4 linked regions of the Oreochromis niloticus genome follow. The protein of the gene in region 4 interacts with the protein of the main gene of each other region in a pairwise test. Links are inferred from orthologs where the notes say so. Each region holds a gene or a part of one and is shown on either strand. Other genes may lie near its edges.

The links.
Region 1: the proteins of hspb1 (region 4) and bag3 interact in binary tests that used the Homo sapiens proteins (3 or more experiments, as listed by UniProt). The link is inferred for Oreochromis niloticus from reciprocal best matches to the Homo sapiens genes HSPB1 and BAG3.
Region 2: the proteins of hspb1 (region 4) and fxr1 interact in a two-hybrid assay, tested with the Homo sapiens proteins (2 studies listed by BioGRID and IntAct). The link is inferred for Oreochromis niloticus from reciprocal best matches to the Homo sapiens genes HSPB1 and FXR1.
Region 3: the proteins of hspb1 (region 4) and wdr83 interact in binary tests that used the Homo sapiens proteins (3 or more experiments, as listed by UniProt). The link is inferred for Oreochromis niloticus from reciprocal best matches to the Homo sapiens genes HSPB1 and WDR83.

Annotation. Positions count from the first base shown.
Region 1 is NC_031978.2:25,359,972-25,368,077, reverse strand, and holds the start of bag3 (BAG family molecular chaperone regulator 3), read right to left. Parts: upstream 3,086-8,106; 5' UTR 2,913-3,085; coding exon 2,715-2,912; intron 942-2,714; coding exon 603-941; intron 482-602; coding exon 137-481; intron 1-136. Other genes in the region: tial1 (nucleolysin TIAR), read left to right, coding at 4,759-4,787, 5,173-5,269, 5,377-5,475, 5,623-5,677, 5,807-5,894, 7,384-7,459, 7,735-7,843. UniProt on the Homo sapiens protein: Co-chaperone and adapter protein that connects different classes of molecular chaperones including heat shock proteins 70 (HSP70s), e.g. HSPA1A/HSP70 or HSPA8/HSC70, and small heat shock proteins (sHSPs), e.g. HSPB8.
Region 2 is NC_031981.2:30,302,341-30,309,874, reverse strand, and holds the start of fxr1 (RNA-binding protein FXR1), read right to left. Parts: upstream 3,004-7,534; 5' UTR 2,899-3,003; intron 2,797-2,898; 5' UTR 2,734-2,796; coding exon 2,683-2,733; intron 1-2,682. UniProt on the Homo sapiens protein: mRNA-binding protein that acts as a regulator of mRNAs translation and/or stability, and which is required for various processes, such as neurogenesis, muscle development and spermatogenesis.
Region 3 is NC_031971.2:7,021,474-7,028,870, forward strand, and holds the start of wdr83 (WD repeat domain-containing protein 83), read right to left. Parts: upstream 3,063-7,397; 5' UTR 2,920-3,062; intron 2,253-2,919; 5' UTR 2,243-2,252; coding exon 2,140-2,242; intron 1,953-2,139; coding exon 1,832-1,952; intron 1,703-1,831; coding exon 1,597-1,702; intron 1,429-1,596; coding exon 1,380-1,428; intron 1,157-1,379; coding exon 1,030-1,156; intron 865-1,029; coding exon 797-864; intron 653-796; coding exon 544-652; intron 122-543; coding exon 7-121; intron 1-6. Other genes in the region: wdr83os (PAT complex subunit Asterix), read left to right, coding at 3,271-3,320, 4,140-4,245, 5,314-5,411, 6,344-6,410. UniProt on the Homo sapiens protein: Molecular scaffold protein for various multimeric protein complexes. Acts as a module in the assembly of a multicomponent scaffold for the ERK pathway, linking ERK responses to specific agonists.
Region 4 is NC_031975.2:6,936,372-6,944,252, reverse strand, and holds the start of hspb1 (heat shock protein beta-1), read left to right. Parts: upstream 1-4,720; coding exon 4,721-5,111; intron 5,112-7,881. Other genes in the region: srrm3 (serine/arginine repetitive matrix protein 3), read left to right, coding at 1,294-1,573. UniProt on the Homo sapiens protein: Small heat shock protein which functions as a molecular chaperone probably maintaining denatured proteins in a folding-competent state. Plays a role in stress resistance and actin organization.

The sequences.
Region 1 (8,106 bases), on a different chromosome or scaffold from region 4:
CTTAGAAGTCAAAAACAATTTATTGGAATCTGTCAAAATCTAGGTCACAGCATGCTAACAGGGAAATCAAAGCTTTATATATATATCTGAAAAAAACAAAAAACAACAACACGCCACACAGAAAAAGTAAAATTACCTGTGGCCTTTCTCCCATCACTTGTGATATAACAGGTGACTGGCTTCTGATGTGAGGAGGGAGATGAATGGAGGCAGTATCGCGGTGCTGAGGAAACAGAGTTGGCGAAGCCTGTTCCCGGGGGGGCTGCATTGCAGCAGAGTAGCCGGGCCATTCATCTGTCTGAAGACGATGGAAGGGCTGCTGATGTTCTGGGTAAGGGATGCGCTGAGAGTAAACTGAGGGATTTAATTGAACCTGTGTTTGTCCCCCTCCACCCTCATGAATCACTGGTATAGGGATATAACCAGACTGGAGACCGGTGCTGCTGGGCCGTGAAGGTTGGTGATGCGTAACAGTATAAGCCTTAAAAATAAATGAACAAATTAAAACAGTCAAAATTCAGTAGTTGTTTGAAAATTGGAACATTTCTGCCTACTGTAAACATTATACTCCATCTGGTGGCACATTTAAACTCAATTCCCACCTCTGGTGTCTGTGAGACAGGCGAGCTCGTCTTTCCAGGCTCAGCGGAGGAGCTGTCTGACGGGCCATGTAAAGGCGATCTAGGCCTGCAGTGGAGCCCCGGCGTTGGGGAAGGTGTCCGCCCATCTGTCCGGATGTTCTGTGCAGTGCTCGGCTGGATGTAGGAATAACACGGGTGCTGCTGCTGCTGCCTCAGTTCTGCACCCTCATGATAGACTGGGATGGGAACATAACCTGGGCGAAGAATGGGGTGCTTCATCTCCCTCACAAAGGTCTTCTGTGTCTCCTGAGGACTTAGTTCTGGCTGTATGTTGGGTCCATTTGCTGACACTTCTCGAACCTGAAACATAGCAACATAGCAATCTATGTAACCTTATACTCAGATTAATTACAGTTGCTGTTGTAGTTTATTGCAAATTTTAGGCATCGGTTGATTACAAAATGTGCTTTAATATATTTTTAGCCAACCTATTCTTGCTCATGGGTGTGTAACAGAAGAAAAATTACTTTTACATATGTTAAATATTCAGCTATAAGCTCCTCCACTTAAAGAGTTGCATTTAAGTCCACGTACAACAGGACATTTTACGATGTGCCACTAAATGTTTTTCTTCAAAGTATTAAGGAATTTTAAAAAGCAAAGTGTTTTCCATCCTGAGGTAACTGCAGAGGTTATAGGTTAAAATGTCACAATTTCGCAGAGGGATGCCAAAAGTATTGAATCTTTGATATGTGAACCCACAGGCTCTGGTGCGTTTCCCGTCAGACAGCTTGCTGTTTCCGTGATGAATATTATTGTTGATTGTTTCACAATCAGAGTAACATAACCTGGATGAATGTCCTGACTTATCCAACAACAACAGTTAGCACATCCTTGGATCTAATAATATCAGCCAAACATTAGGATTTTTACAGAAAGAGGAAATGTGGTTTGCTTTGATTGAAAAAAAAAAAAAAGCAAATATATGAGTTCTTTCCACATAGCACAGTAAATTCTTTCTCGAGCAACATTTATTCATCCAATCATAGACAATCCCAGGATACATTTGTATACATACAAGAGTAAAATATAATTAAAAGAAGGGGCTGGGTTCTACCGTATGACTAGTAAATCAATGCTTTAAATTTCCATTTTCTACTGCAGAAAGGCGCTTGTTTTCTATTAGTATTACTCTAGACTACACACCTGCACATGACAGCTATGGATGGGTACAAGCAACAGGTCTGCCAGTTCAGCACTCAGTTAATGGCATAACTGAAAAGTGACAAAAGTTGTACCAGCTGCCCGAAACACACCCGAAGTAAACACCTACAAAGCAAACACTGCATTTATCTGTAAATCAGTGGCATTCTTCCAGTAGGACTAAAGTAATGAAATAGCCGTGAACGACCCTTTGCCCTCTGCCACTATGGGACACTGCACGCTGCCAGCACCATTGCACCAATTTTATCCCCCAACAGCTGTGTCTTTCTAGCAGATTCCTCTGGACACTAACTTTGGACAACAGCGTCTCTCTCTCTGAGACGAAAGATTACCAGCTGGCAGGCTGTGAAGCTCACTTCAGCCCACGGGTTTTCTCTGCAGACCTGTGCGCTTTCACAACACGGTTTTTAATACAGCTGAATGCGATACGCGGGGGGCAGCCAGCGCCCGGCTACAGCCGTACACAACCGAAGCGAAGTGGACCAGCCTCGATCCTTGTAAGGGAAAAAGTTTAATATGAGCAGGACGTCGCAGCACTGTTTTGCACCGTGAAAGAAACACATTAAAATGCCGGGGAGCTCATCATGGGTAGCCTTTTGCATGCTGCAGAGTGAGTCATCGAGTAATAATAGTGTTAGATCATGACTCGGGAACATATCAGAGTTGATCACCCGTTATAATGGGCTTATGAGCTGTCCGTGAGGGGGAGGCAACGGTGCCAAACAGGGCCTACGGTCAACAAGACTAATATATAACAGTGATGTAGCGCAAAGGCTTCTGCCGCTTTAACAACGCAACAAACCAAAACATGCACCACAACCGACGCACGTCGACAGAAAAAAAAATAGCGGTGAAACTGCCGTTAGCCGTTACCGTTAACTGACCAACTTTATCCCGCCGCTCTTTTACCTTTTTCGTGTCGTGTCTCGGGTCATTCCAGGTTGTGGTACGGTTGTTGTGGTCCACGAAGAAGGGCCATCCAGTCTGAGGGTCAATTTTTACTTCCCAACCGAGGGGGAGAGGGTCGTTGTCATTACTCGCCATGGTCAGTATCGGTGACTGTGTCTTCATGCCGTTCATATTGCTGGCTGTCGAGTACTGAGACATTTTATACGGGCGACGGACGCTTTAAAGATTCCTTCAAGTGACGTGGAAAAGTGGGCTGGAAGTTTCTCGAAATAGCAGGGTTAATGTTGGGGGCGGACAGCGCTGGATACAGTGGCATGGGTTCCCAGATTTGTTATGTCGCAGGCAGACCCCCCCCTCACATAGACACAGAGTAAACCCTCGATATTTTTTTTTTTTTTTTTTTTTTTTTTTTTTTTTGCCCACCCCACCATGCATCCTTTTCCCCCTCTTTGCTGTGTCCTGTCTGGGCAGAGAAGTAATCACCCTTACGTGTACAGTGGGCACTGTGGACCTTCCTCAGTGACCCCTGCCCCTGAACCATTTTCCAAGACAAGGGAATCCCAAAGTGTTTGCTTAAAAAGATGTTCTCCAAATAGATGTACTCAGACTCCCACATAATAAATGCTGTCCAAGGGAACTCAGTCTGGGTTTGCATTGATTTGGTGCACAATTATGTAACTGGTGGTGTGATAAGTGTGGGCACAGTGACACGTCTAATGACTGATCTTTCTTAATCAAAGGACTACTCCAATTCTGCCCTGTACTACAAGGAAAACACCAGTGCAGCAAACCTTTGATCTCGTGGACTTAACAGTGTCACAAACGTTCAACACATGGATTTTTAAAGGTGTTTGATATTTTGGACATTGCAGGCAACGACATCTAATATTTGCATTTTGGCATACCAGAAAATACACACGTGATTGACAGTAATAAAATATGTATTAAGTAGTTTATGGGAGCAATTCGTTTTAATTGGATATCTGCCTGCGAGGAGGGGAAGCCAACTTTAATTTTTGCAAGCTTGTCAATTATATCACCGTTAATTACCCATCGCCACGCTTTTCTTAATCCACCTCAAGCGGCTTCTTATGGCTGTAAAAATATCGCGGTTGCGCAACACAAATTAGAGCCAGTAACATTAAAGAGTGAGAGTAACTAAAGTCTTTAGTATTTTTTATGGAAAATTACTAGTAGACTTAAGAATGACAGGGGATCATTTTTTACGCATTTGTCCTTTAATAAAAGTCCTTCAAAATAAAAGCGCCCACTATGCGCCAAGTTTAAACCACAAGGAAAAAATAAAAATGAGGGGGGAAAGAAAAAAAAATGTCTTTGGGTAGTATAAAAAAAAGTACAATTCTTTGGTTCTGTACACCCAGGGTTATCACAACAGTTCAGGCAATAAACTCAACAATCTTGTTATTCAACTTTTTTTACATATACTTTGACATATAATTTCCTTCCATCCCCCACCCCACAACCACTGCCTTGTTGTGACTAAGCATTTAAAAGAGTTTGTTAATAAAGCGTGAATGTACAAGTCAAACGGGAAATTTCTTCACAGTGACATCTGAGCTCAGATTCGAGAAAGGTCCTGGTGGTTCGCGCCACTGCCTTGAGCCGTCAAATCTCGGCATTGAAAACAAGCGTACCTTTGCATTGCATTTCAAAATAAGAGTTTCGTATGCAGCTTCCTTTTCCAAAATTAATAAAATAAGTACACATTAGGTTTGCTCTTTCGGCTTTTTACAGTTAATTTTTTAAAAATGGTGTCATTCAGAAGTAACGGTCTTTAAGAAATTTTCAATTTTTTACTATTAAGAACGCAAAAAGCCTTTTATTACTTCAACCTTATGTGACGGGTCTCTTCCTGCACACGCACGTACGTACTCTGGACTCTCACAGTGTGACGTATGCTCTGGCGCCCGGTTAGCTAGCTTCTAAGCTAGTTAGCTAGTTGTGGTTTCTAATTGCCAGTTAATACCAGCTATAACTAGCTAGTAAGTGGCGTTTTCTTCCCTGGTTACTGTCAGCATCGACTATGGACGACGAAACCCACCCCAGAACCCTGTAAGTAGTTTTTCGTGTCCGGCAGTAACGTTGCGTGTCATTAGTTTCGCTATCGTCGGTGTTCGGTGGCTAAATTAGCTAGCTGTTGTTTCCACAAACAACTGGACGACATAAACATTTAGCGTTTATGCTCCACTATTTTCAGGTTAATTGACATAAGAGTTAATTAATAAGTATATGTGAGTTATATATAAGTGTTAACAACTGTCTGTTAGATGTTACTAACATCGTTAAAAACAGACTACTGTAAGGAACTTCACTTCAAAAACTCATAATCACCAATGATACTGTAATACCAGAAACGAAGTACCCGTGCTTCACTTTTTCAAAGTAAATAGCTCGTTTCCTGGAGTAAGTGGACTTCTTTTTATTTTTCCTCCTCTAGGTATGTGGGAAACCTCTCCAGGGATGTAACAGAAATTCTGATCCTGCAGCTCTTCACCCAGATAGGACCATGCAAAAGCTGTAAAATGATCACAGAGGTAAGCAGCTAAGGTTGCTGGGTTATCTTGTTTTCTACATTTTCACCTAGTTGTAGTTTTAGTTGAGCCACACTGTTAATCTGTTGTGTCTGATCTTATCCTTACAGCACACGAGCAATGATCCCTATTGCTTTGTGGAGTTCTTTGAACACAGAGATGCTGCTGCAGCCCTTGCAGCCATGAATGGGAGGAAGATATTAGGAAAGGTAGGACATAGCTGCTCTAAAAAATTATATGCAAAGTTATTAAGTTTATTTGTTGTATTAATGCCTCTCATCCTTGAATATCATACAACATTGTTTTCCTGAGTCTTCTTCACAGTTTTAAGTGCTCTCTGTGAATTCTGTTTTCAGGAGGTTAAAGTAAATTGGGCCACCACTCCAAGTAGCCAGAAGAAAGACACATCCAGTAAGCGATCGCCTATTGATTCCCCTACACCACCACGCACACAAACACACGTACACTCTGCTGGAATCAGAGTCTACTGGGGATTAGCAAATAGTTTGTTTACTATGTTCGTGTTTTCTTTTGTACTAGATCACTTCCATGTTTTTGTGGGTGATTTGAATCCAGAGATTACTACTGAGGATGTCAGGGTTGCGTTTGCACCATTTGGGAAAATATCGTAAGTTTTTACGTGTGTGTGAGTGTGAGAGTGTTTGTGTGTGTGTATTTTTTTTCTACTTGTCTTATGTGTAATACAATATGTTTCAGTCCAACCACTGATTTTTTTTTTTTTCTTCCTCCCAGTCGGTTGAGAAACAGGTTTTATAGGTTGTAAAGGTGAAACAGAAAGTTGCATTACACAATGAGGCCTGCATTACTGATGTAATCTTTTTGGTTGAAAGACAATTATGTTTGATTGTCAAGGACTGGAAATTGGCGCTCTGTGCACACCTTTTGGAGAGAAAAACGAACCAGACAACATAATGAATGTGTAACAGGAAAGGATTAACACTGGAATGGAATAGAGTAGAATAGAATAGCCCTTTATTGTCACAAAGAGTATTGCTTACATTGAGTAGAAAAGGCCCCACATCGATGCATGTAAACATACTTAAACATGGAGTAACTAATACCTTTAAAATTATGTTGTTGTTGTTTTTAGATATAGAGTGGCGACACATTTGCATTGACAATGTGGTCGGTCTATTATGTCTTTATTTTTATGACTGAACTGTCAGTTTTTTTTATGCATATGTAGGGTGTGGTAAGTAAACTGTACAGCATGTGAGCAAAATGTAAGCTGTGTATATGTACCTGAACAGCTTTTAGTTTTGAGTCTCAGTGAAGTAATAGCACTTTGGTTATTTTACAGAAATGCTCATAGGATTGGACAGGAGCTTGAAGGCTAACAGCAAGGAACTGTGCACTCTGGAGACTCAGATGTAGTTTTTTTCTCTATTTATTCCATTCTTTCCATATGTCTTTATTTGTAGATGCCATGTATTAACATGACCTAGCTTAGATTAACAAATTCCAATACAAAATGTCTTCCTCTAAATCTGTGTTTTTTGTCTTATTTTTGATTTGCATAGTGTTGTTTGTAGTGCCATGATCCTCTTCCAAAAATTCTGAAAATGTCAATTTCTCAAAATTTGCAGCTCCCCAAACTCCATACTCCATATTGGTGGTAAAGAATTGACCAGGAAAAATAAAGAAATCTGTTAACAGGCCATGTATGCCGTTTAATTCCTTTTTTCTCTTTTTGATATTTTCTATTTATTTCTGTCTGTAGTAAGAGTACGAACAGCAGCTTATAAGAATGCATGGTAATCCATAGCCATTTGCTTTGTGATTTTTAAATCTGTAGCCTACTGTTGTGAGGACTGAGCAAACAGTGGTGCTCTAGTGGTAAAGATCCATTAATACGTCAGAAATGATTTAAAGACAGTACTGTAGGCTGCATGTATTTGTACTTGTTTTTCAAGTGTTGCTTTGAAGTTATATTACGAGTCAGTACTCCGTACAAGGTCATGATAGCTAATGTAGCTTAATGTCGGACAGAGTAGAGGATTCACAGTTCATTGTGTTTTGCGTGGTTCCTTTTTTGTTTTAGTGTAGAAGATTTAAACTTCAAAGTGTGCTGAAGTTGTTCTCATTTCTCCTTCCAGGGATGCCCGAGTTGTGAAGGACATGACGACAGGCAAATCAAAGGGGTATGGATTTGTGTCCTTCTACAACAAACTGGTAAGGCTCCAGTGCGAGAACACAGACTGAAGGTTATTTCTATTTTCTGTTTCTTATCCTACTTCAATACATTCACAGCACTTAAAACTCAATTATTCATAGTTAGTCTTATCCTAACTACAAGCATCTAACATTACTAATTTCCTATTTTAATCACCAGTTTCAGTTTCAATCTCAGAATTCTGATTTTAAAATGAAAAAGAGTAATGCATGGCCACAAATGAGTTTTATCAATCTATCAAATCCATGAGTAATCGTTTGGTTTGGGTTTACAGGATGCAGAGAATGCCATTATTAACATGTCGGGACAGTGGCTCGGAGGGCGCCAAATCAGGACTAACTGGGCTACGCGCAAACCTCCAGCTCCTAAGAGCACTCAGGACAGTGAGTATTGTCAGATATCCAGTTTCGGCAGGTGCTATGATTTCAGCATTCATGTTATTCATGTTATTCACACCAAATTCTGACCCTAACGTCTGAATGCTGCTGCAGATATTGAGATTAATCAGATCAGGAAACAGTCCAATCTTCTATTATCTGGTTTTTGGTGTAGCTGTGTGAATTGTAGCTGACAGGAATGTCATCCAATGTGGTCTAATGCTGCTGCAGCCCATCTAGTTGTAGGTGGTGCATTCACAGACGTTCTT
Region 2 (7,534 bases), on a different chromosome or scaffold from region 4:
AACCAAGGTATTTATCTATTAGTAAACTGATCGTCAATGGCTGTAATTTTTCATATGGATGAAAAAATGTAATAACTATACTGTTGTTAAATCTCTGCAGCAGAGATCTTAAAACTGGACTAGTAAAATCTGAAAGCCATAAACAAAGACTTCTTTCAGCTGGTTCCTTCAGGGGTTCCCACAGCAGACCATCTGCTTCCATGTCACCCTATCCCTAGCATTCTTCTTTGTCACACCAACAGTCTGCATGTCCTCCATCATTACATCCATAAACCATCTGTGATGTCCTCATTTCTTCCTGCCTGGCAGCTCCATCTTCAACATCCTTTTTCCATTATGTCCCTCCTCTGCACATGTCCAAACCATCTCAGCCTTGCCTCTCTAACTTTGTCTCCAATATGCTCAACCTGAGCTGTTGCTCTGATGTACTAATTTCTAATCTTGTCCATTCATTACATTTTCTACTGAAAATCTAAACATCTTCACTTCTGCCACCTCCAGCTTGGCTTCCTCTCTTTGAATCAAAGCCAAACTTGCAGGCAGTGAAACCAGCAACTTTCAATACCCTCTTGAAAATCTTCCCTTTCACTTTTGGTGCTATTCTTCTGTCAAATTTCAGTACCAGAAAACAAACAAAAGAACAACAAAAACAAAGGACAGTGGCAATGAACTGAAGAAAAGTATTTTAGTGAGACACTGACAGCTTCATGAGCTTCTTCAGGTAATTTGGGAGTTAGATCAATTACTGTCAGAGAAATAGAGCTTTGTTGTCACTGTCTTAGTTTATGTTTTAACATATTTAACACTGCATTTATTAGCATATTATCTGCAGTAAACAATCATACTTTCTTACACTATGTGAGATAGCATGTCTGAAACCTTAATATGTAACCACAACCGATAATAGTCTAGCACTACTATTTAATACTGTGGTATGTTAACACTGCGACAGTGACATCAGCATCACTGATGGTAACAGATAGCGACCAACACAGATAGTTTAGTGTGTAAAATATCTAAATAAATAAATAAATAAATAACAAAATGATAGATTTGATAAGTATGGACTTGTTTTGCAAGAGAAAGTTTTGAACTGCTTTCCAGTATTTGCCAAAAATCTGTTTTATCTGTTGTAAAATTACTTGTTAGCCTATAATCTGTCAAACATATGGCAAATATATCTCTTATGAAAGGTATCAAGTCATTTTGATGCTACAAACAACATTCCTATCACAAGGTAGAAGCTGCAAAATTACTTTTATATATCCTTTATTTATCCAAAAAGTGTTATTGACATTACAAAAGTCTTTTTCAAGAGAGATCTGGCCAAGAGGGCAGTGGAAAACGCAACAAATATATCATCACAGTTCTTTCATACACAGGCACAATAACAGAGAGACGTAAAAACACTGTAAAACTAGTAACTTCTTTACTTAACGTATAACTCCTTCATAAATTCTAATGACTACAGTCTATTTAACAATATAAGTAAAGATATCATTAAAAAAAGCAACAACAAAAAGAAAACACACACACGCACACACAGAAACATCAGAAATCAGTTTTGACAGTGGATCATTTTTTGGCACCACACCTGTGCTAGTGTTAGACGTGAAAGGTACCCAACCCCACACACCACACTTGACAGTACTGAACCCCAGGTTCAATGCGTTCAGACACTTATTTAAGCCATGTGTCTCGCTTGCGTGAAGGACGGTGTTGATTACATTCAAAGAAAGCACACACACGTATGTTTAAAGAGTTTAAGACACAGCGGTGGCAGGGTAGACAGAATCGCCCAGGGAAAAGGGTTGGGTTAAATAAGGAAAAGCAATGAGCACAGTGTGAAAATGCAGTAGTACAAAAGAAGTCATGGGCTGTGAAGGTGAGACAAGAAAGAAAAACTTGGAAGTTTGGAGAAAAATGAGAAGAGAGAGGAGACATAGGGGGAGAAGAGGCGAGGGTGTTGCTGTGGGCAGCACGTCTAGAAATAGCTTTAGAGTCGATGGTATCAGTGACCCACTCGACACACATGCCAGCTGGTCGGGATTGACAAGGAACAGCTGGCTCACACATACCGAAAAAATAGCTTCGGCATGATGGAGTATCAAATAATAGACAGCGACAGTCAGTCGTGAAGTCTGTGCAGAGAGACTTCAAAATCTCTCACACCACCAACCACGGTGCCTTCACAACATGACACACTTTAATAAACTACGTGAAGGTATAATGGGCTGGTCCTCCGTGTTTCTGATATCAGCTCAATAGCCAATGATGACACATGCAGATACTACTTACTTCAGCAACATCTTTCGACGTCAACAGCTAGGCAACTATCAAGTTAGCTAACTTTCAGCTCGAGAAAGCTGCACAAGAAGTCAAGTAAAATTAATAACTGCTACCCTGTGTTGTGTATTCAAGTTATCGCATGCAAGACTGCGGTTCTTCCAAACTGGCTTTAAAGAAAGGTCCTCAAAAGCGTCAGCTGGCGAGGACATGGGAGTGACGCTAGCTTAGCTTGCTAATTATGGCTAGCACTGCTAGTACAAGCTAATATCGAACTCTCGGGTACGTACAGAGGAAGTCGGATCATGTTGCCACAATCCACGAGACTTAAACTAGAATACTGTACCGTATGAAAAACTTTTATGCTTGAAACTGTATTGATAAGCCGGTATTTACCTTGTAATAAGCCCCGTTGGAGCCACGGACCTCCACCGCCAGTTCTTCCATATTGGAAACGCAAAGGATGTTGGGACGACAGGTGCTCCTTCAAGCGTCAGGAGGACTTGACATCTTAGCACCAGTAAAATGTATAACAACGAAGTACATGTAAAATTTGCACATTCAAAACTGAATTAAAATGAAAATATATCTTGTTATCCTAATGTAGCTTACCTGACAAACCAAAAGTGAAACTACAAAAGATGAATGCCCTTTTATTTATGTTTTGTAGTTTCAGGCCCGTTTTATTGCTAATGTACATTGAGAGCTTGTTGCTGTAGTTACTGTTTGCTGTATCTACTCTTGCTGTTATAATGACAATTAGAAGACACCTACTAAATCACTTTCAGTACAAGTTATTCCATTCTTTGCAATAACACAGACAATCTATAGTTAGACTGAGTTAATCAAACCAAACTTACTTAGTCAAGATAGCTGACCCAGTTGCAATACTTTTAGTAAAAAGTAAATCCCCTTTTCAGTTTCTTGAGCAGTGTTTCCTTGCAGAACTACGGTGGAAGGATTATAACACAAAAAGTTTGGTCTGATTATGTGATATTTAGGAGAAATTTTTCTCTGAAAATGTAGTGGAGTACCAAACCCCCCCTCACAAACTTAAAGACAGTCAATTTCAGGAGGAATTCAATTAAGGTTCATTTTATTTACATACTGCCAAATCATAGCAAATGTTGCACTTCATCCTGCAAGGTAAGGAGCTTAAAGCATTAGAATGAAAAGCCCAACAATCAAACGTCCCCCTATGAGCAGGCACTGGGTGAAGGTGGAACAGAAAAACACCATCTTAACAGGAAGTACCCGCTTTAAGGAGGGGCAACTATCTGCTGCTACTTCAGCATTACTTTCCTGGACTCTACTGTCAACAGTTCTAAATTTATATGAAATTGTTAAAAAAAAAAAAAAGTCCACTATCAGAATATAAATGTAGGTCTCTTTTATTGGGACACTACGTAGGATACAGCTTGAAATGCTGCTCTAAAAGTAAACATCATCAATAATGAGAGTTGTAGAAAAAGGGTCAAATGGTTAGACTATGATAAAAAATGACATTTGCTGTGCATATCAATGTGGTGCGAGATTCAAACTTAAGAGATACATTCTCCATTTTTTAGTTTTTTAATTTCCAGTGTTTAAACCTTTTTTAAAAATCCAGCTTTACCTGCCTATGAAACTACATCTTCTCAGGTATGAGAAAATGTAGCAATGTACTGAGCAGCAGGGAAAAATTAAACAGTCTGATGAATAGCTCTGAAAAGGCAAACTTGTGTTGCCTTAGAAGAAGAAAAAAAGAAGAATACAGGGACCTCACCTCATTTTTGCGAAGAGTTCTGACTGCTCGCCTCTTTTTTTACAGGTGGGGATTTGGTCCAGTGAATCCCTTTTCAATCCCTGCATTGCCATTGTACGTACAAGTCACTTCAAAGTCATACAGAGTGATGACATTTGTCCTACAGTGAAGCATTCATGGTCCTGATGAAAGTTCATTCTTCCAGAATGATGACAGTAGTTACTAAAATGATTGGTGTGCTTGAAAAAAAAAGCCCCCAAATAGATATTCTAGCCACCAGGCGTACGCACAGGTTGGTAATGTTAATTATAATATTACCAAAATATTTTGGAAAACATAACAAATTTCTTTTTTTGCAAACTGTTCTAGAAACCTGTGGTGCAATGCCTTATTGACAGACTTATTTTCAGTGTTTCTGTTATCAGCCAACTGACATACATTCTGAGGAGTAATGCAGTATTCAATATTCTTTTCCGGATGCTATGGCCTATTTCCTTGAGTTCAAATTAGTAAGTTTGGCTCGTTTGTATAATGATTTATCACAGATAGCCAAGTTCACATTACCTTTTAAGAGATCTTCATTTCTCCTGCACAGAGAAAAGTGTATAAAAGCCATGTAATACAAAACAGCTGACCTCAAAATGTTCAAAATTGTCAAAATATCTCAGGTACTGAGAATACCTTCACATCCAGTGCAGGTGACATTTGCTTCCAGCAAATGGTGCTTGAATCCAATATTATTTTATCCCTGTTTTCACAGGAAAAATACGCCTAATTTGAGTGTATCTTTTAATCATTTATTTAGCTAGTATAATTTTCTAAAAGCTCCCTGACAGAGTTACTCTGTAGATTTGGTAGAGGAACGTGTAACACATAAGACTCTACACTGAATGTGGCAGACAGGCAAACAGAGAGCAGGTGCTGGCTCATCTTTTACAAACAGCCACTGTGACACCTAGTGGCGATTAGTTATTCTCTTGAGGTCTGCTATCACTGTGCAGCAGATACTATATTATTTCTGATCAGACCATCAGACTGCACCAGAGATAAACTATTTGTTAAAATCATCCTCAGCAATATAACATCAGTGTGTGCACAGTGTACACTGATATTTGCAAGCTAGTATTTTTATTCATCGATACATGTCAAGTTGGATGGAGAACAGATTCATCTAGTTTGGAAATGTCACTTGGACATTTGTTTAGTTATTAAAAAAACACCAAAAGGATCACTTGCAACAAATAGGTGGTCATATCTGTTTGTGTAGTTGCAAATAAAGAGGAAAGCCCCAACATCCAAATTCAACTAAAACTAGAAAAATTTGCATTTCCTGCGAAAATGCAGTGTGGATGCTGTAAAGCTGAAGCTGTCAGCTGAAACTAGCTGAAAAAGCTGAAAAGTTGCAGAAGTTGTAAAACCTTTGCAAAAAATTGTAATAACTTTGCAGAAGCATAAGAACTTAGCAAAAATGTAATTACTTAGCAGAACTGCAATATCTTAGAGGAAACATAATACTTGGCAGAAATACAATAGCATAGCAGAACTTAGCAGAAATATTGTAACTTACTAGAAACACGATAACTTCTCAAAAATACAAGAATTTAGGAGAAATAGTATAAGATAACAGAAAGAATATATTTAGCCAAACATTCTTAAACATTACAGAAATACTATGATTTAGAGAAACAGTACAACATAGCAGAAATGCTGTAATTTGACAGAAATACTATATTTAGCACAAATCTTATAAAATAGCAGAAATGCTGTATTTAGCACAAATACTGAAAAGCAGCAGAAATGCTATGACTTAGCACAATAGTAATAACTTAAATAGAAAAATTGGAAAAGCAAAATGGACAGCTGAAAAAATCCTGAGCATGCTAAGGGTCCCTCAAATGTAATTGTTAAATGAAAAGAAAATCAGCAAAAAAAAGTATAACAGTCACACAATCACAAATATGGACACATATTGAAACACACATGCACAGAGAGACACACACAGGACCAAATTCAGTCAACCAGTCTAAATATATTGAATTAAAATCATACAATAAGATGCTCCCATAAAAACTCTCTCTCGCCCTCCCTTTCTCTCTCTCTCTGTCTCACACACACACACACACACACACACACACACAGCAGCAGCAGCAGCAGAAAGTCAACAGGGGCTGTTAACAGCATGTTTCTAGGTCAGTCAAACAGCTGTGACCTTCTCAATTTGAATCCACCAATCAGAGAGGCTGTGTGCTTTTTCCCGCCAAAACTGGTGCACTAAGTGCAGGCTTTTACACATGCAGCACAGAGAGAGACAGGATTTTTGCAGTCTATTTCTCATAGTGAGAATTCCCCTCAAACAAACAGCCATAAATTTCTAACCGTAGGGGCTAAAACAGTCATTCTTAGACCATTTTATTCAGAAGACATAGGGGAATCTTGAAATGCTGACCATTTAAAATAAAAATATGAAATATTAGAGATATATGACATAGATGATTGGTGGGCTTAGAAGCCACGAAGGTCCCAATATGCAAATTTGAATGTGCCAGGACTCAGATATGATTGGCTGGCTGAGAAGCCATGAAGGTCCCAATATGCAAATTTGAATGTGCCAGGACTCAGATATGATTGGCTGGCTGGGAAGCCATGAAGGTCCCAATATGCAAATTTGAATGTGCCAGGACTCAGATATGATTGGCTGGCTGGGAAGCCATGAAGGTCCCAATATGCAAATTTGAATGTGCCAGGACTCAGATATGATTGGCTGGCTGGGAAGCCATGAATGCCCCAATATGCAAATTTAAATGTGCCAGGACTCAGATATGATTGGCTGGCTGGGAAGCCGTCCAGGTCCTGATATGTAAATTTGAATATTAGGACTGACTCCCTGGGGACCTGGCAGAAATATATAGAAATACAATGATTACCCAGAAATACTGCATTTAGTAGAAATACTATGTTTTAGCACAAATACTATAAAATGGCAGAAATACTATAATTAAGCAGAAATATTATATTAAGTACAAATCCTATAAAATAGCAGAAATAGTATGATTTAGCACAAATGCTGTATTTAGCACAAATCTTATAAAATAGCAGAAATAGTATGATTTAGCAGAAATGCTGTATTTAGCACAAATACTGAAAAGCAGCACAAATGCTATGACTTAGCACAATAGTAATAACTTAAATAGAAAAATTGGAAAAGCAAAATGGACAGCTGCAAAAAGTCCCACAAGCACAGAGAGACACACACAGGATCAAATTCAGTCAACCAGTCTAAATATATTGAATTTAAATCATACAATAAGATGCTCCCATAAAAACTCTCTCTCGCCCTCTCTCTCTCTCTCTGTCTCTCTCTCCCACACACACACACACACACACACACACACACACACACACACACAGGGAGAGAAAATCAAGTTTCTAGGTCAGTCAAGCAGCCTGGGAGCTGCTAAATTTGAATCCACCAATCAGAGAGGCTGTGTACTTTTTCCCGCCAAA
Region 3 (7,397 bases), on a different chromosome or scaffold from region 4:
AGTTACCTCCACCAGGTCCCAGCAGTAAACGTGTCCGTCCTCTGAGCAGCTCAGGACGTGGGTGTCTTTACTGGACAGGCAGCAATCCAATTTGTAGCCCTTCATCTTGTGTCCGGTATACCTATAAAAACAAATATATGATAAAAACATGAGTTAAAAAACTTATTTACATCAGTAAATCGTACGATTTAGAATCTTGTAATTACTCACTCTAAGTTAACTGTGGTCTAATTTCTAAATTTCAGTTTATGTCATGTGGTCCTGAGGTTATGTTAAATGTTGAGGTATCTCGAGTGATGTCATGCGGACATTACTCAAGAGCACAACCAACGGTCGCGAGGGACAAATGTTCTCTGACAAGCTGATGGCTGGTTGCAAAGAAAATATTGCAACCAGTCAGCTTGTCAGGGAACAAGTTTTCAGATTTCAGTTTTCAGATATCATAATGAGGTAACAAAAAAACAATATTTATTGTATTGCTTTTACTTTATGAAGCCATAGTAGCAGCACATCACACTGTAAGTGAAAACAATCAGCACTCACTCTCCCAGCATTTCACCGGTGCTCTTGTCTAGAAGTCTGAGTGTTGAATCCAAGCTAGAGCTCAGGGTACACTGACCATCTTGACTGAAACACACACAGGTAATAGGACCTGGAACGCAAGGATAAAAACACTTCAATGGTTTTATATTTTCAGTGAAACTGTTTTGCTACAAAAATCAGTATGTAACAGTAATATCTGCTGAGATTAAACTGTGTGAAAGTTTAAAAAAATGTTATGAAAAAGATTACTAACTGCTGATGAAGTCAACATGTAGCTGTCCCATTCTCAGGTCGTAGCGCCTCACTCTGCCATCCACCGACCTAAAACACAAGATCATTATCATTATTATAATTATTATTATTATAAACTTCCATAGCAAAAATGAACAAAAATAGTTGAATAAATGAATCAAATCTCTGTTTTTATTTGTGAAACTCTTAACATGCAGATTGTTTTTTTTTCCCAACTATGTCTGAAGTGCTGACCCAGTAAGCAGCTCGTGTTGTGCCACCTTGAGGCTGCTGATGCTGTCCCGAGCTTCATCTAGAACCTGGATTGGCTCATATCTTCTGGATCTGGTGTCCCAGCATCGAACTGTCCCGTCTATGGACCCTGAATGATGAGAATACATAAAAATAAAACCCAGTAAATACAAATGTAATAGTTTATACATTTGCTAAGCAAATACAAGAAATACTAAAAATAGTTTACGTTTCAAGTTGGATGATTAAAGCATGGAAACTTTGAGAATGTACAGATAACTGACTTTAACATAAGGCAGACACCAGTTAGAACATCCACATTCCATAAATAATTTACTGTCATTATGACTCACCAGACAATATGACTGTTGCCTCCTCATTAAACTGCACACAGTTAACTTTCTGCAAACAAAAATTTGAAAAGGAGACAGACAGTGAAAAAAATATTACATAAAACAAGTACACAGGCACAAACAACAGTGCAGCCGCCATGAAAACATGCAGATGTTTTTCAAATGAAATACCATGATGCCCAAAGTGAAACACAGAGCTAAAAAGAGAAGGACTGACCCCGGCATGACCCCTGAGTTTGCGTGTGACCTGGCCGGTGGCGACGTCCCACAGAATCACTGTCTTATCTGAGCTACATGAGCAAATCTGGCTGTTGTCATAGGACCTGTGCAAGGAGCCAACGAGAAAAGGTCATTCATTTATTTTATACACTTTAAACATTTGCTTATATTACTTCTGGGGCTATATTCCTGAGACTAAAACCCCGTAGACAACCCCGTGGTAGTTCTCTCACCCATCAGCATCCAAAACCTCGTATCCATGACCACTGTACGTCTTCAACAAGGTGCCTCGGCTTGCACTCCACAGTTTTAAAGACTTGTCACTGCCACAAGACAGCAGGTAGTTCCCATCAACTTAAAAGACATGACCCAGAGACAAGCTGATATAAGTGGATAACTCAGAACTGAGGAATGGAGCTTACATACTTTTAACAAATGAAATAAAGATCATACAATTTCAACAAGATTTGGCAATTGATATTATGCCAGCAGCTAAATAGACTCAACTTGAGAATGATTTGTTTTTTTAGCTTTTTCTTACTGTTGAAGCGAACAGCCCTGACAGCTCCTTGCTGACAGTCTATGGTTCTGAGAAGATGTTGAGGAAGTTGAGGAGCCTGAGGTCTGGGCTGAGGAAATGCCATCACTTAACCTCTGTTTAAAACAAACACACACAAACCTTTTAGCTACCCACATTAGCATCTCCTTCTAAAATGAAAGTCAGAAGCAAGACAGAATACATGTGTATAAATGGTAAAGAGGCGGGTGTTACGTTGACCATGCAAAGAGTAGAGGTAGTGAAAGGGGAAACGTTTAAAAATCTGGGGTCAATAAAAAGCAACACTGGAAGTGACAAGATTAGAATTAGATTAGATCAGAGAGACAGCTCAGGTCGAGCAGTTTGGAGACAAAGTCAAAAAGGCAGAGCTGAGATGGTTTAGACAGTATTGAACAGAGGATGTGGAGGTGCCCGTTGGGAGGAAAAAAGGAAGACCACAGAGAAGACAAACTGGTGAAGTGAAGGACATGCTGTGGCGATCCTAAACTCTTAAATTCTTCCGCATAGTCTGCTGTAGCTGTAGATTTAAGACCAGAAGTTTACACGGCTACAAAAATTTAAGCTAGTTACAGAGTATGATATCCTGTCATACAGACAGTTTTATTAGCTTTCACAAAAGCACTACATACCAACATTTAAACTATTTACGTTTATCGGATACATTTAGGCAATTTCTCCTTAATCCATGAATGACTTAAAGGACCTCTTGAATTAAAGCAGACAACTTTATTTATTTCTATGTAGCTTATTTCGCTCACTTACTTTTATTGAAAGACAGTTTCAGGGACGTGCCATATTCACATTCCTGATTAAAAGTAACGTTTTTGCTCAGTTTGTTACTATAACCCTCTCCTTCGCATCATTTCTTCCATGTTTTTAGCACAGGCACGCAATGCATCATGGGAACAATTATTCCCGTCAAAATAAAAGCTCGAAAAGCATTTACCGCTTTGATATTGGCATAAGGATTGCGTTAAGCTTTTATTGTTAAATACACCGGAAACGACTCTCTCTGTCGACTCCTTTCCTGAAGTAGCTGGTCAGCTGTCTGTCGGTTTTCGGAGTTTAAACTTATTTTCATTTGCTTACAATAGGAAGACCTTGAAACATATTATGTTATCCAACAATATGGCAGACCCGAGGAGGCAAAATAAAATCTTAAGGTGGGCGTTTAATTCAGTCAACAAGTTTCTACGTTATAGAATAGAGCTAACAGCTAGCTAACCTATATCATTTATAATGAGTGGAGCCTGAAAGGATTAACTGGGCGAATTAGCTGTAGGACCTAATATATACTGCTGAAGAGCAGCTGTATAATGGCAGCTAATCAATATGTTGTCCGCTCTTGGTTGTTTAATTTTACACAAAGTCGTCGTGACTAACCCAACCTGTTCCCATCTTTGTTTCACCGTTATTTACGATTATGATTTCCAATGGGTCTCTTTTGAGTTAGCTGTCATAGATTGCTTTGTTTCGGGCCCGTCAGTAGCGGTTTTCATAAAGGTGTTCAATGGTTAACTAAGAAGTTGTTGTAGGAAAAATGATAACAGCAGGAAATCAACAACAACCAGTACCAATAAATTAGGCAATAACTTGTTGGAAACACTGGGGATGGCTCCTTTTTGGTAACATGGTGATTCTCCTTTGGACATACTTGAACTGAGTTTAACATGTGAGATAAACTGGATCAAAAACATCAAGTGCAAGTTTGGCACTGCAGTAAAGCTTCTGTGGCTGAATGGGAGAAAATCCCTATAGTCAGGTTCCAAAATTTGCTTTAAGGACATCGTGAAGCAGGGAAGACTTCTGTAGCAACATATGAAAGTCTTATAGTGTCAAAAGTTTTGTAGAGAAAATTTTCAGCTGTGTAAAATGTGTGTTTATTTATATAAACTTAGGACCAGAGATTTTAACAGTGACCAAAAAAACAGTAAGTTTCCCTTTTAGTTGTCTTTGGTTAAAATAAGTTTGTGTCATGACAGGTACAAACCTCCCAGCACAGAGACTAACCCGACACTGGAGGACCCCACACCTGACTACATGAACCTGCTCGGCATGATCTTCAGCATGTGTGGACTTATGCTCAAGGTGACCTACACACACACACACACACACACACACACACACACACACACACACACAAAACCCTCCTCACACCAAAACTCTGACTTCCATCTCCTTTGTTTTCTGCATATTTATGTGTCCACATAAACATGTGTTGCCCCTGAAGGATAGACCTTAGGCCCATTCATTCCATTTAGAAGATTAAAGGTAAACCTGCCTTTTTAGATGAAAGGATGAACAGCAGCTACCGACGTGACCACAAAGGACACAATGAGTGGGGAAAAAAAAAAGACGATGGAGCTGAAGTCATTCATTCAAGGTCCAAGGAGAACATTTTTATAATTGACTTTCTTTTAATAACCAACTGACAATTTTTACTCATTTTTGATTCAAGGCAAAATATTAAGAAGGAGCATCTTAAATTTTAGGCAAATGCTGGGAATGATTGCATTTGAAGATGGTGTACAAACAGTGGCAACACCTAAAAACGTACTCTCTTGCTGTTTTCACATTTGCACTTTGTAGACATTACTTAAAGGATCCCTGTGTGAGAATGCAACTTTCTGAATCAGTTGAAGCAGGCATTAAACACACTTTACTCTTCCAGCTCCTCAGTATATAAAACCTGTGGAGTCTTATTTTGAGCCCATGTGATTCATGTTCTTTCTGTTCCATTCTCTACTCAATACTGTAGCTAAGCATTTAGTGATTCAGAGGCTTGTTTGAAAACAGATTATCAGGACCACCCTTGGCTTTAGACTAGAGTTTTCCTGGAATGCTGTTATCCTATTTGGACCTCTGTCCAAATGGGATAACAGATGCTCAACACAGCATAACCCCCACACGGGTTATGCTGTGTTAAGCATCTCTGTATGCTTTCTGTGATACGAGCACTTCCAGACCACATAATTGTTCCTCATGTACTTCATGTACCAGTTAAGTGCAATTTAGGAGCTGTGCTGTTAGATGCTCCTCTATTTCTTTAGCAGATTTCAGCCCTGCAACTTTTTCACCTTTTTTTGTTATACATCTCTAATAAGCTCGTCAGAACATAAACACAGTCTAAAGCTGACTCATGTGTTTGTGTTTCAGCTTAAGTGGTGTGCATGGATCGCAGTCTACTGCTCGTTCATCAGCTTTGCAAACTCCCGAAGCTCAGAGGACACCAAACAGATGATGAGCAGCTTCATGTGAGTATACCATCCCATCTGTGGATGCACTATAAACACACTACACAATGCATGTGTAGCACTGCTTTGTATATTGTTTAAGATTTATCTATGTTAAAGCCATTTGATATAAAATTAACATTTTTTTGGCTCAAACTGGAACAAACTTAAACTATTTTTGTTAGTTCTTAGTTATAATGGCCAGTAAAATGAACATGTTTAGATTATAGGGTAGGAGTCTGCATTTTTGAAATTGGAGGTTAGACCTTGTGTCTTTCTGCAACTGCAAGTCCAGACAAGCCAGCTTTAATGTCCAAAAGCTTTTAAATGTGTGACCCATCTGGGAGGTACATTTGCCTATAAAAGACCACTACAGTAGGGCCCCTGTCCAGGCTTCACAGACAGATTTGCAATGAGGAAAAGCCTTCTTGTCCATTGTCTGAATGAGGTCGTATTAAAAATGAACCTAATGCACTCAAAGATTAGTAATGCAAAATGTTTGGCTCGGCAAATAATGTCAGACGACCAGTTAAAGGCACCAGCCTTGTGTGTGTAGAAGCTGGTTCAAGGCCAAATTTAGGACACTCCAAGTGGTTGTGCAGGATGAATGGACAGTGGAGGGCAAGTATGACATTGAGGGTATCAGATGAAAATGGTCCCACGTGTGTGGGTGAATTTACCCCATAGAAGCTTCAAAAGGTTCAGGCACAAATTCTACTCTTAGCTGTGCTCAACTGCAGGATTTTATAATACCCCAAGTATTCAGCAAAATAATACAATTAAAAGCAACCAGGAGTGTATTTTTGTTTTGTAAGCAGTGTAACAATGAGTCATTTTAAAGAGCTCCCCTTTGCAGAAAAAGGTGCTACAAAGCAAAATTTTAACATGCCTTTAAAAACCTAAATTGCACAGTTTTCATGATGCTTTGATCCCATTTTCTGTGCTGTCTTCAGGCTGTCCATCTCAGCAGTTGTGATGTCCTACCTCCAGAACCCACAGCCAATGTCACCGCCATGGTAACATACGGCCAATCTCAGGAGAGAGCAGAAGTGAATTGTGGATGCAGGAGTGGGTGACAGCACATCTGACTGAATCCCCCCCGGCCATCTATGAGCATAAACAGAGACGAAGAAGAACATAATGTAATAGAGAGAAAACAGACGAGCAGGAGAGGTAGACAGCAAGGAGAGCACTACGTCAAGATAGAAAGATAAAATATCTTGGACTTGTTTTTTTGTGTTTATAACCTTTTCTAAGTCTTTTGCTTGTTCATGAACTGATGTCATCAATAAAGTTTTACGGTTTTAAAAGGATCTGCTGGCTTTTATTACTCTGGAGGAAAAGTGTTAAGGATTTGCTTATATGACATTTAGATTGTTTACTTGGCCTTAAATAATCATGTCAACATACATCTCATTTTTGTGACGCTCGGGTACATTTGACAGGTCACAAAATAAATAACAGACTTTGACACATCCTATCAAGTTAATCTCGCCCCTATTTACATTTTGGTTTGCTTTATTCCACAAAGCTTCACCATCATAGTGAATTACACATGAATTACACAAAGTCCTACTGAATCCTCCTGCAAATATTTGGATGTTACTGTATGTCAGTGTTTTGATGCATGCTTAATCAACCAGGTAAGCAAATCCCAGAAAGTAAATTTTCTACGTTTGGATGTAGAGTTTCCAGTGAGAGATGCAAATGCTTCACCCAAAATTAAATCTGGCTGAACAGAGTCAACAGTCTTGTATCTGCGTGTCACTCACCTTTTCCAAAACTGCTCACCGCATTTGCTTTAAACTGGTCAGGTACCTAACCATCATCAATAAGTGCCAAAACCAAACCTTAAGCAGTTGTTGGTCCCCAGATCCTTCAAGGAATCCACCATCATTCCTTTCCCCAAGAAACTGGTGGATTCATGTCTTAAGGACTACCATCTTGCACCAGACAACACGAAGGAGACACATCTGCTCTTCCATCCCTGACATGTTGGACCCTCTT
Region 4 (7,881 bases):
ATTGAGTGATTTGTGACCAAAGTGCTTCAATACGAGATATAACATAAGATGTAAGAATGAGGATGTAAAATGAAGAATAACTGAACTGGCAAAAGATTTCATTGGTTAATTTAGTTGTTCCAGTTGTTCTATTCCATTTTAATGAGTCTTTTTAAAACCATTTATTAGACTCATCCACATATTTGTTTCCTGCTTACTTCTTAGACTTCTTAATTTATTCTCATATGATCGTTTCATTGTTACCAATAGAAATGCTTTTAGGTGCAGTTAATTATTCAGACAAACAGAGGAAGAAGAAAGTCCCACCTGCAGGTGAAATGTGTTTCAGCCTCTCCCTGTGTTACCTCTGCAACCTTCTCATTCGAGTGTAAATAGCCATGGGTAAAATGTGTGTACTTTGTCATCTTTCACTTCAGTCCTTAAAGGTCCCGACACCAGGACAACGGGCTACTGCTGAACCCAATTGCTGCCGGCTAGTCACCCCGGTAACAGTTGCCGTGCAGCAGGACCCTGATACCGTGACTGAAGTTTGGCTGAGCAGCAACTCATCAGAGCTCCCATGAGTAAACTGGGCTTCCTCCTCTGTCCTTTCTCTGCTTCTTCATCTCATTCCTGAAACTCACTCCGGCTCTAGAGCCGCACCCTGCTGTATTTCTGCACTACTGTTGTAACACAAAGGATGCAGAGATTAAAGCGCTATCAAGGTTTATTAGAGTGGAAGCCCCCCTCTTTCCCTCACACACCTTATTGCTCACACTGTTGATTCCCACAGCCAATGTAGAAGACAAAAGCTGGGGTTGAGTTATCTACAGCGCTGCTCGTGAAATGTACCTCGTAGCAGCAGGGATACCTTGATAGCGTTTATCTCTCCCTGCACCACTGACTCTTGATTTTTATTTTCTGGGTGTTGGCCTCCACTGAGAAGATGAGGTTCTTAGGGAACTAACGGCTAATTACCTTACAGGAAGTAAGGGTGGCCAGGGTGGCTATTAACAAGGCAATCTAAGCTTGAACTTCAACTAAACACATGCATTTTTCTGCTATACGTGTGTGTGTGTGTGTGTGTGTGTGTGTGTGTGTGTGTGTGTGTGTGTGTGTGAGGCTGAAGAGCTTTTTTTTAACCCACATAGCTGCTCTCTTTCAGATCCTGTACTGATTACACGTCACCATTCTGTGACCTAACACTGATTGCCTTAATCTTGCTTTAACATCAGATTTAACAGTATAACCATAGAAAATAGGACTAGGACATAGGACTAACTGTTCAAACCCTTATTTTTCCCCCTCCTCCAGCGCTCGGAAGCGGCCGATTCCATACTACCGGCCCAGTCCTTCATCTTCCAGCTACGACAGCAGCCCGTCACAATCCAGCCGCAGCCACAGCCGCAGCTACAGCAGCTACAGCCGCAGCAGAAGTCACAGCAGGAGCCACAGCAGGAGCCGGAGCCAGAGCTGGAGCCGCAGCCACAGCTGGAGTCGCAGCCAGAGCCGGAGCTGGAGTCGCAGCAGGAGCCGCTCCCGCAGCCACCACAGTTATTACAGCCGCAGCAGCTATGACAGCCCGGGGTTCTGATGGCGACCAGCAGAACGAGAACAAAAAAAAAAACAGGAACAAAAGTAGGAGAAGTGCTGTTAAACCTGCTGCACTCCGGTAGATTCATTACGTATCCTTAGCAAGTCCTCGGCAGGGGCCGCACTGCTGTACAGCCCGGGATCCAAACTCCTTCACCATGGACCATTCTGTCTCTAACACAGAGCCTGGATCAAAGAGAGGAAAATGTATTTTGATATAGCACATTACCATGAAATTGGCTGTCACTGTTCATGTCTTCTCACACATTCAAGGAAAGGTTTTTTCTTTTTTACGTGTCTAAAATGAATTGGCTGAGCCCAAAGAACAAATGTATGTTAGCACTTTCCTTCTCATCTTCCACACAGCTACCAAAAATACATTCAATAACAGTTAATAACAGTTATATAAGTATATATAGATATATATCAAATATATCCTGAAAAGAGGGGCTGAGTAGACGAAAAGAAGACGAAAAGAAGGCAGACACATCGAAATCACACAGCTTACTGTACATTTCAGAGAATCACTTCGTTTTCTCTCATCATGTAATCATCAACCCCAAAGACTTCCAGTTCATCCAAGCACACAGATCAACAAAAAGAGAACAAAAGAGAAGTCAGAGGATGAATCAGGAAAAGAAATAAAAATAACTTTTTTTTTTCTTTTTTTAGAAGAAAACTGTATTGCATAGATTTGTCTGTACAGATGTAAACTCTCTTAAGTTTGGCTTTGTAAACTATGCACTGTATATTCCATATAGTTTGAAGAGGTATGTTCAGCATGATTCATCAGGAGAGAGTCAAGGAACCTGATGGAAATGATAGGTGCCAGCAGGGTGAATCTGCCCTCCCCCTTCCCCCTGACCTTTGCAAACAGAGGTTAATGAACGCATTACGTTCGTTATGCTAATCCTGTGCGAGAGTGTGTTCGCGTTTGTATGTGTGTGTGAGTGTGAACCTCCTTTACAAAGATCAACGAGGTAATGATTTACGTGAGCTGCTGTATGGTACCATACTGCAAAAAGTCTCCATGCACATTTGTGAGTTGATCTCAGCTGTTTATGAAACTTGCTGTATTTATTCATTTATTTATTGGGTTATTTATTGTTTAATGTATTTATCATTTCGCTGTGAAGCAGTTGGATCATGGTTTGGAGATGGGTTTGCTGCAGATTTGAGAAAAGTACTGTAAATGTCCACGTTATGATACAGAATCGGTTTCTCATTGCAAAGGTTAGCTCCTGTTATCAGATCAACAAGCAGTGCACAGATGCATTGCTACGTGTTTAAGGAGCTCTGATTTTTGAGCCAGTTGAACTGAGCGTTCACCCACAGTTACTCCCACCACTGCCATTATTGCGTCCCCAGCCGTTATAATGATTCATGGTAACGCAGGGCCGCTGTGGCTCTGCCTGTGCCGAGGGAGGAAGAGAACTCGGCCTGAAGCAGCCTGAAGAGTCTATTACTCTGCTGTACATTTCCAGTCACTCCATATTTCAGTCCCTTGTATAATTGGCCACACGTTTCTAGCAGAGGTCTCCCCGGTTGCTGGCTACAAAAGATAATGAGCGATGGCTTGGCAGGCACGGCAGCAGGCTGTGTCTGCACCTCCATGAGGGTGGTTAACAAACAGGTGATACAATCAGGGATCAGCCTAAGTCTTCCTTACCATTCACCCGGTCTCATGACATGCATTTCCAGTGTAACCACACTTATCCCAGCTATGATACTCTGCAGCCTGACCATTTATTCCAAGTATAGCATTGCCCCTTTGATTCTACAAATCATTCTTTGTATTGTACAAGTTATTATACCTGACAATAAACAGAAACAAATGGGGAAATGATCCAGTTTTTGAGTTCTTCTCTCTGCCTTCAGGTGCAGTCAGCGATAACTTGTTGGTGCTGTGTATGTATTTTCCTACAGATGGCACTGATGAGAACCTTGACCAAAAACATGAAGCCTCTCTCTATTAAGTAGGCTAGAATGTTCTCCAGCTGTGGGGAATTACTGAAACGTCGAGGCAAACTTGGGCTGAGAGGAAGACGTGGCTTATTTTAGAGGCAGATATCACATCCTGTGCTGTAACTTTGAGGGATTAGATTTCTTACACTAAGACCTGAGCCAAATCTTCCACAAATCAAATACTTACTTACTTTGCCATATATCAAATAAATTAACATAACCTCCATTTCACTGTCACATCTATTTTTTAAATTAGCCTAGCACATTTAAAACAATAGAAGCTGACCCAAAGTGCTTAAGAGACAGACACATTTACATTCCAGGTCTTCAACTACTTCATGTGCAAAGTAAAAATCATGATGATTTAGTGGTCATTAAAATGTATTCAGATTTTGGAAACTGGCAATTAATCTCATAAATCATGACATACTACTCCCCCCTAGATAAACTGCCTTCATAGTTTAAAAATATGTGTACTAGTATTAGTAATACTGGCCGTGTATTTACTTGGTTTCGGATCGATACCAAAATTGCAGTATCACGCGGCACTAACTAATCCAGTAAACAATGAAAGACTGTCAGGTTAACAGAAGACTTGAGACACTACAGCTTGTTAATTCCCTCTTTGTGACAATGAAGTATCAATAGGCAGGTGTGAACATGGTGGATTTTCCTCCAGTTTTAATGCAGTCAAGTCATTTGCATTCATGTACCAAACTGATATTCCACTGTGTATTTCATTCAGGGCTGACTGGGTTCATAGCACACCATAGTGTTGTTAGAAATAGCATGTTAGCTTGTAAGTAGACTGACAGAAGCCTCCCAGATTCTTCTGGCTCTTTGAGACGCACAGGGAGAGGAGAAGGGGGTTTACACACAGCACTCAGGGCATTGGGCAGCTGTTACATGGGAGGGCCTTCCTGTTGAATTCCATTCCAGTGCTACGTCCGCTACAAATAGATATTCTAGTGCTTTCCTAAAACATTCTGGAGGCATGAGGTATTGGGCTTGAGTCTGAAGGGAGGGTTCGGTTGATAAGGGACCACCCCTTATCAGTGGGTATAAAAGCTCTCAGCTGAGAGGCAGACAGCACATTAAGAAAACACTTCCAGAGAGGCCAAGGGGCTCTTGATCTGCACACAGCAACACTCCTCTGAAGCTTAGAAGAAATACCCAGATCATCATGGCTGAGAGACGTATTCCTTTCACCTTGCTCCGCACTCCGAGCTGGGACCCATTTCGTGACTGGCACCAGAGCAGCCGTATCTTTGACCAGACCTTCGGCATGCCCGCCCTGCCCGAGGACATCGCCGCATTCCCCAGCACCCACTGGCCAGGGTACCTGAGGCCATCCATCCTGGCCCCAGAACTAATGACACCGCATGCCCCTTTGATGTATCCAACCCACATGATGGCTCAGCAGGCTCAGGCTCGGGCCCTGTCCCGCCAGCTGAGCAGCGGAATTTCCGAGATCAAGCAGACCCAAGACAGCTGGAAAGTATCGCTGGATGTGAACCACTTCTCACCTGAGGAGCTGGTGGTGAAGACGAAAGATGGCGTGGTGGAAATCTCGGGTGAGCACTTATTTGATTTCTGTCGCTCTCCTTATTGAATGATTTAAAGGTCATAGTGTTTTATGTCCTGAAACCTAATGTGTCATATTCCAGTCAGATGTTCCTTGAGTGACACACTTTATCATACACCTACATCTCTTTATCCTTAGAAGACAGCTGTACTGGTTGGTATGCACACTGTCTCACTTTGGTGTTCTTAAGTGTCTCTTTTTCTTCTGTAAAACAAAAATTGATAGAACTGAACAAAGCATGAGGTGGTTACATAGTTACATAACATATTGAGACAATAGAGTAATGTGTTCAGGGAGTTGGGAGGGTCAGGGGGGTTTGACTGTAAGCCCACTGGACGCAAAACAAGACACAGTTCAAAATGTGGGAGTTGACTTTTAAAGAAGCTCAGGCATGAAAACAATGTTAAAACAGCCTCACTGTCCATCCAGGACGGGCAGGAGCAAAGCAGACCTGAAGAAAGTGTGGAACTGATCAGATAGCAGCTTAGTTCTCTGAAGCCCTGTGCTCTCTTTTCTCTGAGTGAATCTCGGCCTCCCTGCCTGCTATTTCACAAAGGATCCCATTCTCAGAGCTGGGGATTTAGCTGCAGCTCAACCAGTAGGTCCACTACTTTAAAAGGACTGCTGGATCTTGTCCAGGTCCAGGGTTCAGTCCCTGACTGTACCCAACGTCTCTCCGCTCAGAGACTGGACCTCATCATAAACACTGAGATAAACAAAGCACAAGATTCAATCCAAGTGGAATTTGCCACCCCATGTTCCACCCCATGTATCACCAGTGACCCAGGATGATATTTTAAACACGACAGTGTAATGAAGAATTTTGTAAACACACCAAAGTGCGACCTCTCTCTAGCTGTCGCTCAAAACTAATGACCCTTCATTTAGCTGTTGAAAAAGTGTGTGTTACACAAGTAATTTGGTCCAGTTAAAAAGGGGACACCACTCTCTGGACCGCAACCTTTATCGGTCCGTTGTCACAACAAACATATTACTGTATTCAGAGGCAGAATGAAGGGCAGCGTTTCAACTTCATAGCAGGGCATCTGAGATACAAGAGGCTGATTAAGTCTGGTGAGGATCTTAAGTGGCCGGTGTGGTTCAGTAGCACTGAACTGCATGAGTTTTAGAGTTAACCTAACATATATGCAAATTAAAACTCTCTGAAAAAATCATTTATGAAACATTTTAGAAATCTATGAAGACATGTATGTATATCCTTAGTGCTTTACAGCTTTTCTTGATTGCTGTCATGCAGCAGTCAACTCAAACAGGCCTAACAGAGGCACTGACGGTCAAAGTGACACATTTTGTTTATGCCTCCAAAAGCTAATTTTGCTTTCAAAACAACACAATTTGCAAACAAGTATATTAGATTTTCCAATCAATCATTACACAATGGACAACAAAATACAAAATGCAGTGCTCAGTGGGATCCAGAATCAAAAATGCTTTGATGCAAACTGGCTGAAAACTGAAATACTGTACATGTTACAGAAAATACATAAATGCAAAATGAATACAGTAAACCAAAATAAAATCTATTACAGTATAAGAAACAGCCGCTATTGATACTCAGTCCCTTCTGACTTGACGAGTTGGCCACAAGGCTTCATCCACATTAGACTCAAAATTCTCTCTCACAATGCACCGAGGAAAAAATCTTCTTTCATGCCGTATCCAACTTTGACATTCCTCCTCACCTATTTCTTGAGCTGCAGCAGTCATTGCATTCAGAAAGGGTATCTGCTCATAGGGATGGTGATAATAAACTCCTCTAAGGGATTCAAAAATGGGGCACATACTAGGAGGAACTGCATCATTATATGTGGGTGTACTGTAAACCACTCATTGGTGGAACGCCACATTATCCCAGATAATGGCGAAGAGGGGCATGACAGTCCTCAACAGCCCTCTGTCCTCAGGCTAGATCAGCCTCTCATGAAGTGTATTCAGGAATGTCATGAGTCCTTCGGTGTTGTATGGGTGAATAGTGGGGATATAGCATAGGACACCATCATTGGAGATGGCAGAACACGTGGGTATGTTGGTACCCCTCTGTTCTGGAACTATGAAAGTGGCCCTGTATCCAGTGAGGTTCCTTCCACAACTCCTGACTTTACAGGAGCCGACTTCATCAACATAAATGAAGACATGATGTGCCCCCTCAGCTTCAAGCTCCATTCTTCTCTGAGTAAAAGCAAAATTACAATGAAAAGTGACTCCAGTTGACTTTAACTGAATGATATGACAAGGCATTACAGCATCTGGCCTCCTTCACAACCTCAGAGTTCCTTTGAAATGGAACTCTGTAGAGCTGCTTCATGGAAATATGGTTGCTTTTCAAGACTTGGTCAGTGGTGGTCAGGCCCACGTTGTTGAGGTTCCTGATCTGCGATCACTGCTGCCCTGATTTCACGGAGCCTTATGGCATTGTTTGCCATAAGGCTGCGTGAAAATTGTCCCTCTTCCACCAGAGAACGGCAGTTCTATAAAGAATACATGTAATGGGAATGAGGAAACAATTACATGAAGTATATTGCTGAAGATATTACTACACAGCAACATTACAGTGTTTCTGTTTAAAGCGGTTGTACTCTTTGTCCAGCCTCTTTAAGTGAAAAGCCATGATTGATAGCATGATCGATAACAGCTGCCCGTAATTTCTTCTGAAACTTGAGCCTTTCCAACTACACCTCCAACTCACACACAGACGTCTCTTCCTCGGACCCCTCTACCTGTTACTCTCACTCTCATCT